3 linked regions of the Arabidopsis thaliana genome follow. The protein of the gene in region 2 binds, or shares a complex with, the protein of the main gene of each other region. Each region holds a gene or a part of one and is shown on either strand. Other genes may lie near its edges.

Region 1 (5,513 bases), on a different chromosome or scaffold from region 2:
TACCGTTTGCGAGAAGAGACGCCATTGTTGTTGGTGTGGCTCTTAGGAGAAGTAAAAGAAGATTGTTTTTTTTTTTTTTTTTGGAGTCGTGTGTTAGAAAAAAAACAACGATTAGGAAAAAAATGAAGAAGAGATGAAATGTTAATATTTATGGAATTTTCTGAGCCGTAGATTGAAGATAGTCTCGTGTCAGCCACGAGACGATTTTTTTGTTGGATTTTCACTTTTCAGCTCAATTATAAACCACATACGTTTTCCACTAACTAATTATAAAAAAAAAATAACGTTGATCTCTTCTTTATTTGTTAAAAATCTCTTTTAGATATTAGATATTTTTTATACTTGGACAAAACAAACAAAGATATTAGATATTTTATAATCCGATTTACGGGTTGGTTTCTTGTTTTTGTTAATGAAAAAAAAAATTAGTTTGATCTTTTATTTCAAAAACTTAATAATATTTTATTTTAAAATTTGTTGGTTCATTCATTTCAGTTTAGTTTGGTACACTGAAATCAGTTTTAATTCTTTTTTTTTCTCATCTGAATTATATTAGAAACTAAAGTAGAATACAAGTTGAAATACATAAGCCAACAGACCAACGGAATATTTTGAGAAACTTAGCTGAAAAAAAGGAAGTAAAACCAAAAACATATATAAGGAAACATTTTAAACCAACGAAATTGAATCAAGAGACAAAATTCAAAAGAAAATAAAAAACTATGGGAAAAATAAGACCTAAACTTCTCCTAAAAAATGTGAACGCCGGAAACACCAATAAGATCGGATAGATTTTACACCGAAGTCAAAACTAATAGTAAATCGACAGAGAGGAAAGCAAGAAGCCGCTGAAACCAGAGACATAAGTACAAACACCATCACACCTCACCCACCAGACCGAGATAGCAAAATGTACTAGGGACAAGGCATAAACCTTGAAGATCTACTAGAGATAATTAAAGCACTAGACACAATCAGTATCGATTCTACTTGGGTTAGCTGATTTTCGAGCCATAAACTATTTCGATTCTCAGCTTTCACCCCCGGACTTTTGGGCCCTTAAATTTCCACCATCAACTTTCATATTCCCAAAATTACATCATCTACTTTCGGATTCATGCTTAAACATACATTTCCAATTGAACCATTCATTTAACCGGGATTAACCACAAATCCGCGTTTACTGTACCGCGATTGCGATTAACCCGACTAATACCCAGACCCGTTAAGAAAACGACGTCGTTTTCATTTCGTTTAACTCATCAAAAAGAGAAAGAAAACGACGTCGTTTTCATTCTTCTTCTTCTGCAAAATCGATTTGGTCGATTAGGGTTCTTCATTCGACAATTTTATAAGAAAATGAGCACCAACAGCTACTACTCATCCGCTTCCAGTTCAGGATTTCGTGTCTGTCCTCCTGGTGTCCCCTCGAAATGTTGGTGTGGAGAAGAGATCATTACATTCACATCGAAAACAAAGGAGAATCCATACCGGAGATTCTACCGTTGTGCGATAGCAATGAAGGTACACATTTCGATTTTGTGATATATTTGATTGATTGAAGGAGTAAATGATTGGAAATTATGTTTTATAGAGAGAAAATGAAGAGCACTTGTTCAAATGGGTTGATGAAGCTCTCTTGGACGAAATTAAGATGGTAAATGAGAAGTGTAAGAGAGTTGTAGAGAATATTAGTGACCTCAGAATGAACGTGATGGCTAATATGGAGCTCCTTAATAAAAACGCTAAGCAGATGGAGGAAGAGCTGATTAAGAAGATGGAGGGTGAACTCTTGACCATGAAGGAGAATGTGGAAGAGCTAGGACATGTTATGGCAAAGTCAGCTTTGAAGACTGTAGGGGTTGCTGTTGTGATTGTTGCATCTATTGTATGGCTTTGGGGAAGAGTGTAGGTGTTGTTGAGGTTTTGGAGTGAAATTGTAGTATTGGATTAGTCTCTGTTATAAAATTGTCGAATGAAGAACCCTAATCGACCAAATCGATTTTGCAGAAGAAGAAGAATGAAAACGACGTCGTTTTCTTTCTCTTTTTGATGAGTTAAACGAAATGAAAACGACGTCGTTTTCTTAACGGGTCTGGGTATTAGTCAGGTTAATCGCAATCGCGGTACAGTAAACGCAGATTTGTGGTTAATCCCGGTTAAATGAATGGTTCAATTGGAAATGTATGTTTAAGCATGAATTCGAAAGTAGATGATGTAATTTTGAGGAATATGAAAGTTGATGGTGAAAATTTAAGGGCCCAAAAGTCCGGGGGTGAAAGCTGAGAATCGAAATAGTTTATGGCTCAAAAATCAGCCACCCAATTCTACTTCAGTGTTTTTTTTTTTAATTAGTTGTCAATTAATTAAAGCAGTAGGTTTAAAGAAACAACAGAAATCGTTCCTTACGAATTCTATGGAATTAGGGCCCAAAAATCCAAAGGAAAGGCCACCTTAAAAGCCCATTTTAAAAATCTTCGAGCCCAAACCCAAAACGCAGAACGAAGTTTATTAAGAACAACAAAACGCCCCAATTCGCAGCGATTATCTGTCGTTGCCACACCCAACAGACTCTGCGTCGCCGGAGAAATCTTGTCGACGGGTAAGTCTCTTCGTTAAAGCTTATGCTTCGTTAAATCGATTAGGTCAATTTTTTCCCTGAGGATTCGCCATTTTGATCCTCTCTGAAATCCAACTGGTTTTAAGTGATTTATGCTTTGGCACTAGTTTTGTTGAGAATCTTGTTTGATAAATTCAGGAATTGACCACCAATTTTGTGCCATTTGAATCTCCTAGATCCTCTCTGAACGTTATATCTTGCTTTTGAGTATATGTTAAAAGTCTAATATGTGATTGATTACTGTAAATTTTATACTTGTTCAAGGTCTTTTAAGGTTTTGGAAGATGGATATAATCTCACAGTTGCAAGAACAAGTGAATACGATTGCTGCTATCACTTTCAATGCTTTTGGGACACTGCAAAGGGATGCACCACCAGTCCAGCTTTCACCTAATTATCCTGAACCACCCGCTACAACTACGGTTACTGATGATGCTACGCCTTTTCCTGAGCAACCTAAGCAGCTCAGTGCTGGCTTAGTTAAGGCTGCTAAACAGTTTGATGCTTTGGTTGCTGCACTTCCTTTGTCAGAAGGTGGTGAAGGTGCTCAGCTCAAAAGAATCGCTGAACTCCAGGTCAAACAAGTCACACCGATATGTCGAGTTCTTGAATCCGATTACTTCTATTTGTCTAACCGCTTTGTCCTGTTTTTTCTTCAGGTGGAAAATGATCTTGTTGGTCAAGAACTCCAAAAGCAACTAGAGGCTGCAGGTAAAAAACGATCTTAGGTTTTCACTTCATTGTTGGTGTGTCTTATCTGTCTGTAACTGGAGCAGATTCATTATGCACTTCAAATTTCAATTTGTATACTTTCTTGTTGATACACGCACTATGGTTAGATGTTATCTTTAGTGGTTCTAGAATTTGGAATTTTTGTTTTCCCTTGCAACTGCCTCTGACGATTGAGCTGATGTTAATGGTGTGACCTTGTTTGTGACAGAGAAGGAGCTAAAGCAAGTACAAGAGCTGTTTGGACAAGCTGCTGACAATTGCCTGAACATGAAGAAACCTGAATGAAATGCTTGTTTACCTTTTGTCGAGCTGATTTAGAAACTATATGATTTGGTTCAGCAACAATTATCTTTTAGGTTCATAAGGAATATCTATTCTAAGTTGGTTCACCAAAAAATTGTTGTAGAAGCAATTACAAGAATGTTAGTTAGCTCACAACAACAGAACCATTATTTTAACCTTACACTTTTTTGACCTGTCTGATTACAATCTCAGAGAATCCACTTTATCATTTTCACAATTACAGGCCATGATTGACACATCATGTTTGATTCTCCGGGCAGTGTTGGTCAAATTACTATGATGGTCAAATTACTATGAACTCTGGTATCTGTCACATTCAATCCAAGTTGCTGAAAAGAAATGACCAGTCCATAAGTTGTGGTCCAAAACCGGATCTTGATTGTGTATTTGTACTCAAGCATGTGAAGATATCCTAACTCATCATCCTTCTTGCGCTCTCTCACAAGACTTGTATAGAGTCCAACAATCTTTTGTCTGCGTGATGAAGCTTTAGGATGAAAAGAAAACTTTAGCCAGTCCGATCAATATTATAAATTAACAATTGTATAAATTTACCAATATATATATTTATATAAATATTATATGTAAAATATTTAGTGAAATATGACTCTACTATTGTTTTTCTTTAATTTTTATTAATTTTTTGTAAAGTTCAATTCTAATACTTTTACTATGTGAAAAAAAAAAATTGTATTTTTTTTTTAAACTTAATAATTGTTTTCTACTTATAATCGGATTAAGAAAGATTATTGATTATAAAGAAAAGATCACTTTTAAAATTAAATTTTTGTAAGAAATTATAAAATTTGTAAAATCTCTTTATAAATTGATAATTATTAATTTATCCATAAATTAATTAATTTTCTCGGTCCCAAACAATATTAACTTATAGATGTTTTACGGTAGTTTGTTGATGAAACACTCATATTCTTTTTAGGTTTCTTCTTGTTGGGTGCTTGAGAAAATGCAGACCGACTTTCTTCGATGATATGTTGTACATCTTTATCATCTATTGGAATTTTTTATATCAATGCCTTGGCACCTTCTGAATCCCCTGCAGCTAGTAGAACCTGATACATCCTGCCAAACCATAAACAAGAACCAATGATATACCGAAAACCTCTTGATCTTTTGGAAACTGATGATCTAGTTATCAGAATTGACTGCATCCTCTTGAAACTAATCGAACCCGTAAATCGAAACCCACAGGACATTGTTGAAGAGGAAGACGTTGAGGCAAAGGTGGCTGTAGCAGAGGGTGCTGTAGCAAAGGTGGCAGAAGTGGTTGTAGCAGAGGTGGCTAAAGCTGAAGTTGTGGCAGACAATCCACGTAAGAGAAAGACGATTGGTGCTAACTACTATATCCCAGACAAAAGACAACGCTTGTTCTGACTTTAGGCGGGAGACTCATCTTAGCTCCTTAAGGTTGTTATATAGAAGACTTTAGTTCTGAGAAAAGAATGATAAATTTGATGTCAAAAAAACAAAAAAGAAAGAAAATTCTTTTTTTTTTAATTGGTCAACAGAATATGGACGTCCATATAATATTTCACTTCATAATTACAATATAAAGAAATTTTGTACAAAATCACTACTTTGTTGATAAAACAATCATTTTCTTTTTTGGTTTCTTCTTGTTGGGTGCTTGAGAAAATGCAGACTGACTTTCTTCGATGATATGTTGTACATCTTTATCATCTTTTGGAATTTTTGACACCAATGCCTTGGCACCTTCTGAATCCCCTGCAGCTAGTAGAACCTGATACATCCTGCCAAACCGTAAACCAGAACCAATGATATACTGGAAACCTCTTGATCTTTTGGAAACTGATGATCTAATTATCAGAATAAACTGCAT
Region 2 (8,223 bases):
GTTAACAGTATAGTTAACCGAATAAACCCAAAAATATGGGTTAATAAATGTTGAAGTATCAATTCAGGGAGTTTAGATAGAGATCTTTTGATTCATGGAGAAATAGATATAAAACTTTTTTTAGAAAAAGAGAAAAAATGTACAGACCTTCTAAAGACTATAAAGTTGTGCTATTATTTGGGATGCGAGAAAAAAAAATAGGAATCTACAGCATGATTGTTTCAATTTTGAGGCTATAGCTTTTTATTTTGCTTTATAAATCTCTTATCATGTCATGTAAATCAATAGGATACTTTCGAGAGCTTTTTTTTTTTTTCTTTTTTTTTTCTCTTACCCTTCTCGTTTCTTTAGAAACGATCATGCTCTAATCCAAATCGGATATTAATTTCAGTTTTTTTTTTTTTCTGTTTAATTAGGTTTATAAATTTTGCTTCGACGATATCAATAATTTTGATTTCGGACAAGACTTTTGATACCACTTTTATCAAGTTCTCTCTTGCCTTGCGAGTTTAGATCTCCATCTATTGGTGATTGTTGATGTCTTTGGTTTCTTCACAAATCCTCTATGTTCCCACCAATTAGTTCGACGAGTAATATCTATACCACTTCTTTATGCACACACATGAACAAAGATCCGGCCACATCAATATGGGTGTCGTCAGAGGTGGAGCTTCCCCGACGATAATGATACTTGAAGAATTTTTAAGCGACTTCCATCACTTGATCCGAAAGAATATCGACGATTTTTGGACATGGGTTCGAGATCGACAGAAGGAAAGACGATTCTCAACATTTTGGTGAATTCTAGCGGTTTCCCGCGAATTCAACAGCGGTGCTTGACGTCTCGGCCCGTGTCATAGGGCAAAACACTTCATCAACACGTTTCATCAGCAAAATCTTTATGAGTGGATGTTTAAATTACTAAGGATGATTTAGTTTTATAGGCTTGGCTTCATTTTCTGTAATCCTTTTTTAAAACTTATATTCCAACCTTTTGGGCTCTATAAATGAAACATGTAATAAGAAAAAACAATAAAATACTTTAAAATCTTTTTTAAAAAAAAGGCTTTGTGCCTAAATATTTCAAGATAATTTATTATACTATCGGTTTTGAAACAATTATAATTTCTTGTTAAAATATATACAATAAGAAGACATGAGCCACACCATACAAATAAATGTTACTTCTATCTCAAAGGAAATAAAAAAAAACCTAACTTGGGCTATAAGGCTTCCCACCTAAAAACTATCTTGTACGGTGAGTGAGAAAGGAAGTATTAGTCCTCATGAAGCTCTTAGAACCGTTTCCCAAGCACCATACTTGGAGCTGAAAGTGCCTCCACCATGTCTCTCTGCGTACTCAACCATTGTCGCTCTCGCACAATCATTCCACGTTTGAGCTATTCCTTTCGAAAACCCTGGTTCTGAAAATTCCTTCATGGACAAACTGAACCTTGATCTGGTTCTCGCGGATAGATCCTCATACTTGTGTACACTGAAACATGCAGATATAAATCCTTAAGATCATATATATTTACTCCAATCGTTGTTACTTGATTTCTAAGAAAGATTCATACCTAGTGTCAAAGGAGATTTCCTCGAGAACTATCGGAGAACTATACGGATAATCCATAGGAAATAGTAAGCGTAAAGGTTGAATCTGTGCCTGCATCAAACATTTAGAGACATAAAAAATCTGAGCAGAGTGAGGAAAAAGAAGAAGTTTGAAGTAACTTACAATTTTTCCAGACTTGTAATGATCTTTGAATGTGGCACTGAGAGCCACAGGAGCATAAGTACAAGTGACGATTGTTCCTAAAGAATCTTCATCACATATCTCTACCACTGTCTCTACAAGTCTCCCATTTGTTTCTTTGATTTCTTGCAAAAGGGCATAACCAGGCTACAAGATTGAAAAAATGGATTTATTTCGATGTTTCATTTGTTTTCGTAGTTCGATACCAATAGAGTAGATTTTACCGCAATATTGTTAACTTTCAAGCCAGATGATGTTGTGGAAACAACTTCAGATTCAAGGCTACTCAACTGTTCATAACTATCAATTTGTGATGACATATCTGGCGGCACAATGTTGATTGATCGCTTCATTCTCTTAGACAGATTTGTTTCTTCGTGTGTGGTAAAGTTTCTTGTCCTCTCACTCAAATCCTCGCCTAAACCAGCTCTAGATCCTCCACTAGAAGGGAACGATCCTCCAATCATGTCAACCATACTAATCACCGAGCTAATCTCACTTACAGATTCTGCCAATGATTTTGGTGATGCTGCTTGAAACTAGAAAGCCACACACATTAAAAATTAGGTCAGTAAATAGGAGAAGGTAAAGAAAGTAAACTTAGATAAGCTATAGAGTTTACTTACCGCTTTTATAAGTCGATCAATAGGCCGCTCTGTGATTGGCTCGGGCGGAGGAACAAATAACAGAGGAGTTTCTTGTGTGCCAAGTTTACTAGAAGAATCTAAAGTTGAGTTTATTTCATCAACACCAGAAACTGGAGACTCAACAGATATAGGCATTTCAGAATCTCCAGGAACTGGAGATGGAGCTGGAGCAACAAAAGCCGAACCACTAGAGTTCAATGGGGTTCCGGTTTTGTTAATCGTCGCAGGAAGAATATGCTGGTCAACTAACTGAGGAGAAGAGTGGTTCTGTATCTGAGAGGATGAAACGTTAGACTCTTGCTTTGGAACCTGGCGCTGACTCGATGAGACTTGTTGCTCAAGCAACCTGGCTTTAATGTTGACCCTCTCCCTCATCCTCACATCATTCATCTCATTTGTCTGCATTTGATGTTGATGATTCCCTTGTTGTGGTTGTTGTTGTTGCATTTGTCGGTGATGGAATCGCTTCTGCTTCTGCAACGACTGAACCGAACTGATATTTGTGTTTACGGCCCGAGGATTTTGTTTAACAGAAGGTAACATGACATTTCCTGAGGAAGCCATAATGATGTTCTCGTCTCTTGGATCCAACTTAGGCCTTATTTGCAACAAAGACGAGGCCTCATTTTGGCTACTTGGCATCAACCGTGATCTCCTTTGCTCCTTATAAAGAGACTGTGACACATGGACTTGAGGACTTTGGGTTTGCATTGCTGTTTGAGAAGGAGGAAATTGTCCTTGTTGTTGCTGCGTTGGCCTCAAAACCATGGTCTGACTCTTGGTAAATTTCAATATGTGGTACTCATATTGACTAAACTTGTCTCTATGTTTCTCTGATACACTGCTCCTATGAACATTTAAGAAAAACATAAGGTGTTCCATTGACAATTTTCCCGCCTTTAGCTTTTCAATCCACTGAGCTTGCATCGGTTGCGGCGGAAGAGATTCAGTCTGGAAACATTAGGTTTATTAAACCAAAAACAACACAAAGTTTTAGAAAAAAAAATGATTAAGAAAACCATTAGAACAAATTCTTGTTCCACAAGCAAAACAATTAGGTTATAAAATAAAGTACCTCCCGCAATTTTTCCGCAACTCTTTGGTGCATTAAACTGAGAACAGGTAAACACATCTCTTTCAGTTTTTTTATCTGCAGGACATATCAGAATGGGAATCAATTGAAAACAAAATCAAACCCTAATTGTGATGTTAAGAAGTGAAGAGCAAAGCAAGTGAAGATACCTTCTGATAGGTCTCCTCCTGCCAGTTTCCGGCATTGACATTTACCGTCTTTCCCGTAGAATCTTGAGATGCTACAATGATATTCATTATTAGAACTAAAAACATTATCACAAGAGTTAGTAAGAGAGGAAACATACTAGATGGATTTGCTCTCTCTAATTGTTGTGGCTGGTTCTGTTGATCTGTTATGTTTTGTGTTTGGCGCAACGAACTTGCTGCTTGAAATTGATTGGTATTGTTTTGTACAAAATCCAAATGTTTCTGTAAGTTTCTGTTCTGAGGATCCTGCTGCATGGGGTATTGTTGTCGGTATTGTTGTGACATCATTGGTTGAGATTGTCCTACTTGTTGACCTCTAGTCATACTTTGGAGGTTATTCTTCTGTTGAGACATTGCATGTAAGGTAACATTATTGTTCTGCTGAGACGAGGATACCTGAAAAGCTCCTTGTTGGTCTCTATTGTTTGGTCGTGATGTTGGAAGATTCGTCAGTTGATTAATGAGTTGCTCTTGTTCTTGTCGTTTCTGTTCTTGAGACGGCAGAACCATCTGTTGTTGATGACTAAAACTGACCCGTTGTATCGAAAACTGATTTCTGGTCAGTGATTGAGTGTTTTGTTAGCTTGATTGAGGAAAAGGCTGTTGAATAGGTTGTTTCAACAAACTTTGCGGATGATGTTGCGGCTGCGGTGACCGAGCTTGTTGTTGCATGTGCGAAGGTCGTAAATTACCATGGCGGATTTGATTCATTTGAGGCTGTTGCTGCTGAGGAAGAAGTTGTTGCCTACCATGTATCTGTCTTTGAGAACCGGGAACGGTTATAGGGACCTGACTTGGCAAAGCAGATGACACAGAGATTGCTCTGTGTGTTTTGCTGTAACCATTGTTGGCTCGTTGTAGTCTGCATATATGGCAACAAGGCGGGAAGAGATTGAGCTTGATTCACAACTACTTGAGAAGCTGATGTTTAGATAAACACATAGAAAAAAAAAGTTAGTTAGTGATTTCTTTGTTATTAAGCTAAAATAGTATAATTATGAAACCAAAAACTTATTACCTAGAACTCTAGTGTAAGTTCTCTGTATATAATGCAGTGTTTCACTGAGTTTCCTAAGGTAATCATTCTGAAACATAGCAAGGGGACAATGAGTAAGATATCAAATTCAGATTCTGAAGTTAATAGATGGAGAAACAATTTGTAGTTTAACACCTTATCGGTTGCTATGCTATAAAAATTTTCTTCAAATTTGGAAGCGATGTCGTTAATCTTATATTCTTCATGTGCATGAAACTTTTCCTTGAACTTTTCAACTCTACACATACATGAGAACAAAATATCAGTGACTATGAAGAATTTGGTTATAACTGATATTCAAGAGGAAGTGATACCATTTTAATTGCACTAAAAATACAAAACAGAGAAAATAATCCGTAGTTAATATTCGAACTTACGATAATCGTTTAGCGAACAAACACTGAAACAATTATACATATGTGCCAAGCAATTGTACATAGAAGCGAGAGTAAAACAAGATTCTCCTAGTGAGGAAGAGCCTAAATGCAGGTAATGAGGTTAAAAGAATATGCAAAACTTAAAGTACAAAAGGTTGAAGTTAGGTTTTGTCAACTATGATAAACATTTATGCACAACTCTTATGCTTTAACTGTTGCAATCTTTATCATGCGCAAACTACAAATATCACATCGAAAGCATGACCAAGAAAACCTTACTCTCTTTCATGAATGTTAATAATCAAATAAGAACAATGAGTCCAACAAAAGAAACATGAAACTCTTGAAAGAATGGCTTACATTTTTGAAAGAACCTTTTGCCGTAATTCAGGCTCATGTTGTGATCTCCAATCAATACGATTATTCGCAGCATCACGGTTTCCGCCTTGTTCATTAGGCTTCCAGTTAGTATTTCCCTCCATTAAGTTATGCGTCCTAACGGGGAGATGTATGTATAGGCTTTGACCAAGAACCGCCTCGCTAAACCTTAACAAACAAACAAAAGAATGATTAGAGAAATTACTCAACATGGTAACACAAAACAGATAAATATATAGTACAAGAAAACGACAAAAGAGTATTCAAAAATCAATATGCATATCACGCTAACAACCTATCGCATAATATCACACAACACGTATTATAATATTTGTTGGTGCAGGAATTAGCACCTCCGACAATACTAATTTAAACCGAGGAATAATGTGAATAAAATCGAGAATTCGATTGAACCGGGGTATCCCGGTTAGCCTGTTAATGGGCCTAAGTCATGAGATCGCCCGAAGACTTAAGTCGACAATCAAGATCGCCATAACCAACTTCTTAGGTCGTGTAAAGGGAAAACTTCCATTTAAGAGAAGAGGATCTCATGAAGAATAGAAGTAATGAAGATTTAAACCTAAGATAATTAGAAGTTTATCATATTTTGGTATATTCGACCTATTGTATAAATAGAGGGGTCAAACCCCCCATTGAGATCATCTTTAACCTAATACAAGAGACTACTATTACAGAGCAAACCCTAGCTTTTTGTTTAAGCAACCTAGTTCTTTTCCTTTGATTATTTGTGAGCTAAGAGAGGAGTGAATTTGTCTAAATCCCTTAGTACAAATTCATTGTTTGATTACTGAATCAACAATATTTAATATATAATCCTAACATTTTAACAATCAGCACCCAATGTCTAATCTTATACAAATGAAATTCAGAAATACAAAAGTAAAGGTGATACTATGTTTCCACAGATCCTACCCTCACCTTGGCAACTCGGTTGGATTTTAAGAAATAGGACTAGCAACAATGGATCCGGCTCAACAACGATCTCAAACTACAACAATTTAGATTAATCAATCAAGATTATATTCCCTTAATAATTTGTTATTTAATCTAATAACTAAACCAAGTCTAATAATTTAATATTAGTTGCTTAACACGTAATTGACTACGCCACATCCATTTACGTGACCAAATACTCCCCGGTTTAATAATTAAACCAACGCCACAATTCAAATCACGTACATGTCAATGCTACTTCTGGTTTGACAATTAACCCAACGCTTTCTAATAAGCCAATAACTGACTATATCGTCTTCTTCACTAACACAACCCAACTGACGCCATAACCGATCAACTCAAAAGGTTCCTTAATAATCAAGTTTCAATTCATGGCCGTAACTATACGTAATCCCTTGGTTTAGGTTGGTTCAATAATTAAACAACACAACACCTTAACATGAATACGAGAATAAGGTTTCACCGTTATCTCACTCTGCAACGAAGAAGTAGAGGATTCGGTATCACAGACCCAAACAAAGCACCAATGATAGATCTAGATTCCGGTGAAGAAGGAGGACGAAGAAGGCTAATAGTGGCTCAGATGGTGATGATTAGGGTTGGATGTTACGTGACGATAACTTCACGTCACCACTTAACACGATCGGGACCACAACCACAAACTACAACGATGGTGAACTCGATAGTGGAGGATGATGGTGACTTGAGAGTTGAGATCAAATTTCTATGATTTTGATAAGGTTAACATTGCGTGCTCGTAACATAAGCGGCGAGAGGAAGAAGACATTATATACATACGTACACACTTCTCACGTTTAGGTCTTGTTTTTAATGAAGATGGGCTTAATGAGAAATTGGGTCTTAGCTTTACCTCCTTTCGCCGTCTCCAGTCACGCCGAGACAGCTCCCTTTCATGCTTCTTCCGCCAGAATCCATCGCCGGATACATCTCGAAGATTGAATCAGAGTATTAAGGTAATTCACGACTATGAATCTTCTGGATTAGCGTCAGTGTATTGTTTATATCGATGTTTGCGACTATTTTTGGTTTAAGTTACTGGATTGGTGGTTTTTGAAGAAGCATCAATGTTTATAGGTTTCAGTTGTTTCAAGAACCATTGGATTCATTACTAGTAGTCTATGGTTTCATGATCAAGTAATTGTTGAAACATCGTAAATATCAAGTTTGTAGTAATTGTTCGAACTATCTATGTGAATTGTAGTTTTTTCTGTGTAGTTTACCTTGAGATTATCCACTGCTCTATACCTTGAAATTGAAATAGGCTTCACACTGAAGTTATAAGGACTTGGGGTACAAGAGTCGTTGGTTTGACTCTCCTTGTGATTGGTGCTATGAGAATCAAAGAAGCTTCTGAGATCCCATAACCATGTGTTGTTACTTTGCCACTAGGATTGTTTACGGCCTGCAACCGGAGGCTCTGATGATGGTACATATTTTGTCACCTGAAGACGTTACTAGTAATTATGTTCTTTGTGCTGCTTTTATTCATTAATTGCTTAAACTAAATGTTGTCGTTGCAAGATCTTTGTTCTTGTATGTTGGACAATGCCAATGTGCTATCGCTGAGTTGGATGCATTGGGTGATGAATTATACAAGGACAGTACCCTGATTATGAAGATTCTTAGAGACAATCTCACTTTCTGGACTTCAGATATGACTGTAAGCATCAACACAATATACATTGATCATTGTTCACTAAGTTCTGTAATTGACATGATTATAACTCTTTGGTCAATAGGACGAAGCAGGAG
Region 3 (5,558 bases), on a different chromosome or scaffold from region 2:
TTTCAATATGGGGAAAAAAGTTTCATCTCTGCTGTAAATCCACACAGTGACGAAAAATCATATTCTCTTTGCTCTTATTAACTAATTCACCTGTTTTCAGAACCCATAAAGACAGTGTAAAATATTCGTTTGGCAAACTCTTTGCTATCAGTAGGAAACTGCCCATTAGCATAATTCCCAATTCGGTTCGCATCAGCTTTTACTTGCTCATCTCCCTTTGCAATCTCTAAACAAGAAAGAAAATATACTCTGAGAGAACTCAATATCATGAAATTTCAACAAGACAAAACACAGTTCAACATACATAGAAAAAAGCGCCAGTGTACCTTTAACAACAAGTTGGCACATGCAGCCAACAATAGCTGCCACGGAGGAGCTGTCTGCTCCGCCAGAAAGAGGAAGCAAAAATCCTGAAGCGCCACTTCTTCTCAAATAGTCCCACATCCAGCAAGCGGGACCAAAGGCTATTTCTTCTTGTGGAGAGTGGTAAATGATCTACATTACTAATGTATATTAGAGTGGAAAATTTTAGATGTTAACTTAACATCAAATACTCAAGGATGGAGAACCTTCTTCGGACTGCTTAGTGTCATTTTCAGGTTGAAGGACTGTGTAAGTCTACAGGGCACAGCTACTGAAGATACTTTAACCTTGCAGCTTGCTTGTTCCTGAAAGCTACTTATAGATCCACGAAGGCTAGCAACCTTTCTCAAGACAAATAAGCAAGATGATCCTAAGAACTTTTCATTTATATATCACAAAACAGAAGAAAGTAAAGCCAAAGGGTAACTGTGGGATACCGCATCAAGATCCACTTGTGAAATGATGACCTCAACGTCTCTCAACGAGAATTGTGAGCCTTGAGCAACAACATTCCCGTTTACAACAATACATGCACATCCATCTGCACTTGGTTACAAATGAACAAATCTCACTCAAAAAAGTAGATATGATTTACTCAAAAATGATACTTTCAATAATTTTAAGGGTTGTCAAACATACCGTAGTATAAGCGGCTACCATCGCATCCTTGTTGATTACTGTACATATACACCCCACCACGAGCATGAGTAGCCCCCATAAAAGCATTCAGACGAATATCTAGTTTCCTAAGTTGGTGATGACTCCCACTTGCATTCATAAATACTTCAACACCATTCAATGCGAGCTCGGCATGAGGAGGAAGTGGACTAAACAGTTCCTCACAGACTTCAGCTGCAACAGCCCTGATAAGGAAATATAACTGATACAGTTAAGCAGACAAAATCATTGACAGTGTTGAAATGGAAGCATTTATCCAAACTCACGTGTCGATAAACTGGATGTAACCATAACCAAAAGGGACTGATTTCTGCTCCAAAGCCTCTGAAATTTCAATGGGGAGCTGAAATTCCTCTAGCTCTTCTCTCTGCTTCCAAGCTGTGAACCACCGTAGCTCCCTATAGTTTCCATCGTTTGCGAGCCACATTTTCGGTCGAATCATGATGATTCTTCTGTTCATACAGAGAACCTGGCAGTTATAACGCTCTGCTCCTTTAATCACAGGCATTCCTATGCTGCACAAAATATCATCCGTCCAATCACCAAGCAGCAATTCCTTCAAACACTCCCACCTGAAAGAAGATATTCACATGAACATAAGAAGAAACGGTTAAACATGATTCCGATAACTAAATTCAGAAGAAAAAGAAATTAATTCCATCATCTAAAGTGATAGTACCAAGTCATTCATGCCATTCATCATCGAAATAGAAAACTAAAAATAGAAGCTTACGCATGAGTGACAGTGTCGAGTTCCAAGAAGTGATCCTCGCAACCATAGCCAGTGACCTCGAGCTCGGGTCCAAGCCTGATAACAGCACCAGCAGCCTTTGCCTCAGCGATCGAAGCCTTGATGTTCTTCATGTTGCTCTCGAAATCCATGGCCCATTGGTTCAAGTTACACGTAGCAACCTTCAACAGCCTCATCTTCGTCGCCTAAAGAGAAAGACAAGTAAATTTACTGTACATCAAGTAGTGTAAAAAATCTGACTTATCTAAGGCACAAACTTGTTCATGAGAACAGAAGCTGGTTAAATTAGTTAAAGGAACAAACTTTGTATTACTTTGCTAATACTAACAATTCAAATTCAATTTTAACAGCCATAATACACAATATCTGTAACGAAGAACTCGTCAACGCAACACTATTCGATGTGAATCAATTGCCAAAAGAAGAGAAGGAAGAATTGGAGCTTACGTGAATGTGCAAAGAAACCAAGTATCAAAGTCGTGAAATTCGGAGATCGTGAAAATTGAAAACTATGGGAGTTTGTATTTCTTTCAGATGTGAAATTCACAGACTCCAAGTGATTGTGCAGTGCTCGTGCAGAACAGATTGTGACCGACCAAGAAGAACATTCGGTTTGAGAGGAAGAAGAAGAAGAAGAGATTGATACTGAAACGACGGCGTTTTACGATTGTAAATTACAAACAAAACCTTAACTGAGAACAACTTCGTTTTATCATGACACGACATCATTTTTTTTTTTTTTTGGTCAAAACACGACATCGTTTAAGTTCCCACTTTTGTCTCTTCTTCGTTCTTTTAAGTTTTAATAGACGACGACGGCGACGAGAAGGAGAATTAGCGAGATCGGAAGGAGAAAAAATGGATCAATTCTCAGGAGGAGGAGGTAATTGGTCGATGATCCCAAACGTGCAGGCGCAAGGTAACTTCGGTACACCGACGAATCATGACCAGCAACTATTCCTCCAGCAACAACAATTACAACAACAACAACAACAACAACAACAACAACAGTTTCATCTTCAACAACAACAACAGACGCAGCAGCAACAACAACAATTCCAGCCACAACAACAACAAGAGATGCAACAATATCAGCAATTCCAACAACAGCAACACTTCATCCAACAACAGCAATTCCAACAACAACAACGGTTGTTACAATCTCCTCCTCTTCAGCCACAGTCGTTACAATCACCTCCGCCGCAACAGACGATGGTTCACACGCCTCAATCTATGATGCATACACCGCAGCAACAACAACAGTTGGTTCAAACTCCGGTGCAGACTCCTCAACAGCATCAGTCTTTAGCTTCTCATTTCCATCTCTATCCGGTAAGAGAAACAAAGAAAATTGATGAAATTGGAATCGTTGGGGGTTCTAATTTCGTGTTAATGACGCAGATGGTGGAGAAATTAGCTGATGTGATCGAAAATGGAACACGAGATCAGAATTCTGACGCCCTGGTTTGTTAAAAATCAAGTCTTTTAAAGTGGTTTTGAGATTTCTAGGGTTTCTTATTGGATGATGTTGAAATTGTGGGATTTGCAGGTGAATGAATTGAATAGCCATTTCGACAAGTGTCAACAGTTGCTGAATTCGATTTCAGGATCACTAGGATCTAAAACTATGGTAACATTTTGGATCTCTGTATTGGTTCTGTTTAATCTTTTGTTTCTTATGGATCTCTCTCTCTCTCTGTGTTTTATAGACTGTTGATGGCCAAAAGAGAAATGTTGAAGAAAGTGAGCAATTGCTTCAACAGAGAAGGTTAGCTAGATTGTTAGTATCATGTTTTATCTGATCAGATTGTGATCGTGCTCTTACTCTTTTGTTGTTAAATGTCTTCTGGTCAGGGATTTGATTGTGGAGTATAGGAAATCTATTGAAGAGATTGTGACAATGGAGCATTAGTTTCTCATATTTTGATTCAGCAACTGTTTAGCTACTTAAGACCAATAATTGTTATCAATAAACCAATCTTGATTCACATAATAAAGAGAATGTGGTTTTCTTCAAGAAAATTCATTCTTCGGATTACAAATAGATCACAATGCATAATGTGTTTTGTCTGCATCAAACCAAACCAAAATCTTTGTATGTGGGACATGCAACAGAAAGCTCAACCCAAAAACGATATAAGCCCAGGTAGTTGTTGAACATAGTGAGTGGTTTTGTGATTTAGATTCAGAACAGAGTAGAAAAAGCATTGTAGCGACCATGGAAAATTCAACCATTATTCCACAATGATCCTCCAAATATAAAACAAAACACCATTGAAGCCACATCTATTAGTCTTTTAAAAAGAAATAAAAACACCGACTTCTAATCTATCCCTACTCACTATTTTGAAATCATGATAATAGTCTTAAACAGGTAAAAAAAAAACCCAATAAAACACTCACGTAAGCTTCATATTCTCTAGATAGTTTGGAACAGCATGAAACAAAACCCGTTTAGAACCTTGAGATTCTGGAACTTCAACTCTTACTCTTACCACAATGTTCTCCTCGAGATTGTAGTAATAAAGGTAAAAAGGAACTTGTGGATCATAGTGATTTGGGCAGAATACAGCTTCACCTTTACTAGTAACTAAAAAGTTTACATCAATTCCATTGAACTCCGGCCATTGAAGGGGCTTTACGTAGATATGCTTTGACCATTTACGTTCCTGGCCATGCTCTAAAACCCACAACACCAAATCGTTATCATTACTATTTATTGAACCTAATTTACCCTTGTAGTTTATCAGAGAGGGAGGTTTCCAAGTAATAAAACCAAATTTCTCAGACCTAACGTCAAAGCAAACGATCATAGGTCCCAACATAGGTTTCATAGAGGTTGCTGCATAATACAAAACACCTTTGATGCATATCCCCTTATGATAACGGTGGGTATAATAATGTCTGCGACATTGGATCTTCCTCCAAAATAGATTTCTCCTTCCAGTCTCGAATGTGAGAACTTGATGCTGACTATCAAACTCCTCCCCTGTTCCATGATGCACCGAGGTTACACACAATACCTTGAACCGTTTGTTGATTGGATCATACCCGATGGCGAAATAGTTTATTGTCGCATGTGCTTCCAATATGGGTAAGGTTACGTACTGCCCTGTGATGGGATTATAAATCACAAAAACTGTGTCATTTTTTATCTTACGGTGATAACAGACCAGTCCGTGGACAGAGCTAAGGATTTGAGAGAAATCTCTAGGGATATCCGTATGATGATGAGCAGTGGCTACAAGAGATGAATTCTCATCTGGATTTTCAGGCTGTGTTGAAGTGTAGGAAAATAACATTCCTCCACCTAAGAAGGTGAAGATGAACCTCGGTGGATCGGGATACTTGATCGGGAACAACTGGTTATAATTTGGTTGTCGAATTATCGACGACAAGAGCTTACATACACAACGACACTTGGCCATAGACTTTGCAGACAATTTCGATAAGATTTTGATGACCAAATCTGCAGGGATTCGATCAAAGTATTCTCCTCCAGAGTTTGAACATCGTTTATTGGATTCAAATACGGTTAGGGTTAGGTTTTCTTTTGTATCCTGCTGCTTACGTTTTGTCATTGCCCTAGATTTTGACTCTGCTTGGTGATTTCAAAATCTTCATCTTATGATGACATATGTACTATGCCTCAATCAAGCACGCTCCATCATTTGGGCTTTTACTAAGGTCCACTAGATACTTTTAAGGCTTTGTGTTTTGTCCGCTGGAATTTAAGAGAATCGATTTTGTACCTCTTCCTTTCGTA

Evidence for each region. The genes of interacting proteins can lie anywhere in the genome.
Region 1: AT2G10440 (region 2) and MED21 share a complex: the UniProt entries of both Arabidopsis thaliana proteins name them as parts of the mediator complex.
Region 3: AT2G10440 (region 2) and MED9 share a complex: the UniProt entries of both Arabidopsis thaliana proteins name them as parts of the mediator complex.

The regions. Positions count from the first base shown.
Region 1 is NC_003075.7:2,429,761-2,435,273, forward strand, and holds MED21 (mediator 21), read left to right. Parts: upstream 1-2,491; 5' UTR 2,492-2,602; intron 2,603-2,884; 5' UTR 2,885-2,904; coding exon 2,905-3,195; intron 3,196-3,279; coding exon 3,280-3,331; intron 3,332-3,560; coding exon 3,561-3,637; 3' UTR 3,638-3,875; downstream 3,876-5,513. Other genes in the region: ABCI8 (ATP binding cassette protein 1), read right to left, coding at 1-25; AT4G04775 (zinc ion binding protein), read left to right, coding at 1,360-1,524, 1,595-1,912; AT4G04790 (Tetratricopeptide repeat (TPR)-like superfamily protein), read right to left, coding at 5,247-5,424. UniProt on the Arabidopsis thaliana protein: Component of the Mediator complex, a coactivator involved in the regulated transcription of nearly all RNA polymerase II-dependent genes.
Region 2 is NC_003071.7:4,012,468-4,020,690, forward strand, and holds AT2G10440 (mediator of RNA polymerase II transcription subunit), read right to left. Parts: upstream 5,580-8,223; coding exon 5,458-5,579; intron 5,121-5,457; coding exon of another isoform or gene 5,094-5,120; intron 4,959-5,093; coding exon 4,856-4,958; intron 4,770-4,855; coding exon of another isoform or gene 4,703-4,769; intron 4,606-4,702; coding exon of another isoform or gene 4,547-4,605; coding exon 4,434-4,546; intron 4,344-4,433; coding exon 4,219-4,343; intron 4,176-4,218; coding exon 3,783-4,175; intron 3,741-3,782; coding exon 3,646-3,740; intron 3,554-3,645; coding exon 3,479-3,553; intron 3,355-3,478; coding exon 2,383-3,354; intron 2,296-2,382; coding exon 1,981-2,295; intron 1,904-1,980; coding exon 1,739-1,903; intron 1,697-1,738; coding exon 1,578-1,696; intron 1,496-1,577; coding exon 1,285-1,495; downstream 1-1,284. Other genes in the region: AT2G10450 (14-3-3 family protein), read left to right, coding at 7,838-7,897, 8,039-8,131, 8,211-8,223. UniProt on the Arabidopsis thaliana protein: Component of the Mediator complex, a coactivator involved in the regulated transcription of nearly all RNA polymerase II-dependent genes.
Region 3 is NC_003070.9:20,551,267-20,556,824, reverse strand, and holds MED9 (mediator of RNA polymerase II transcription subunit-like protein), read left to right. Parts: upstream 1-2,570; 5' UTR 2,571-2,650; coding exon 2,651-3,124; intron 3,125-3,193; coding exon 3,194-3,256; intron 3,257-3,341; coding exon 3,342-3,422; coding exon of another isoform or gene 3,423-3,501; coding exon 3,502-3,560; intron 3,561-3,646; coding exon 3,647-3,704; 3' UTR 3,705-3,920; downstream 3,921-5,558. Other genes in the region: AT1G55090 (carbon-nitrogen hydrolase family protein), read right to left, coding at 91-226, 327-495, 570-704, 801-904, 1,003-1,226, 1,308-1,613, 1,775-1,968; AT1G55070 (F-box and associated interaction domains-containing protein), read right to left, coding at 4,192-5,373. UniProt on the Arabidopsis thaliana protein: Component of the Mediator complex, a coactivator involved in the regulated transcription of nearly all RNA polymerase II-dependent genes.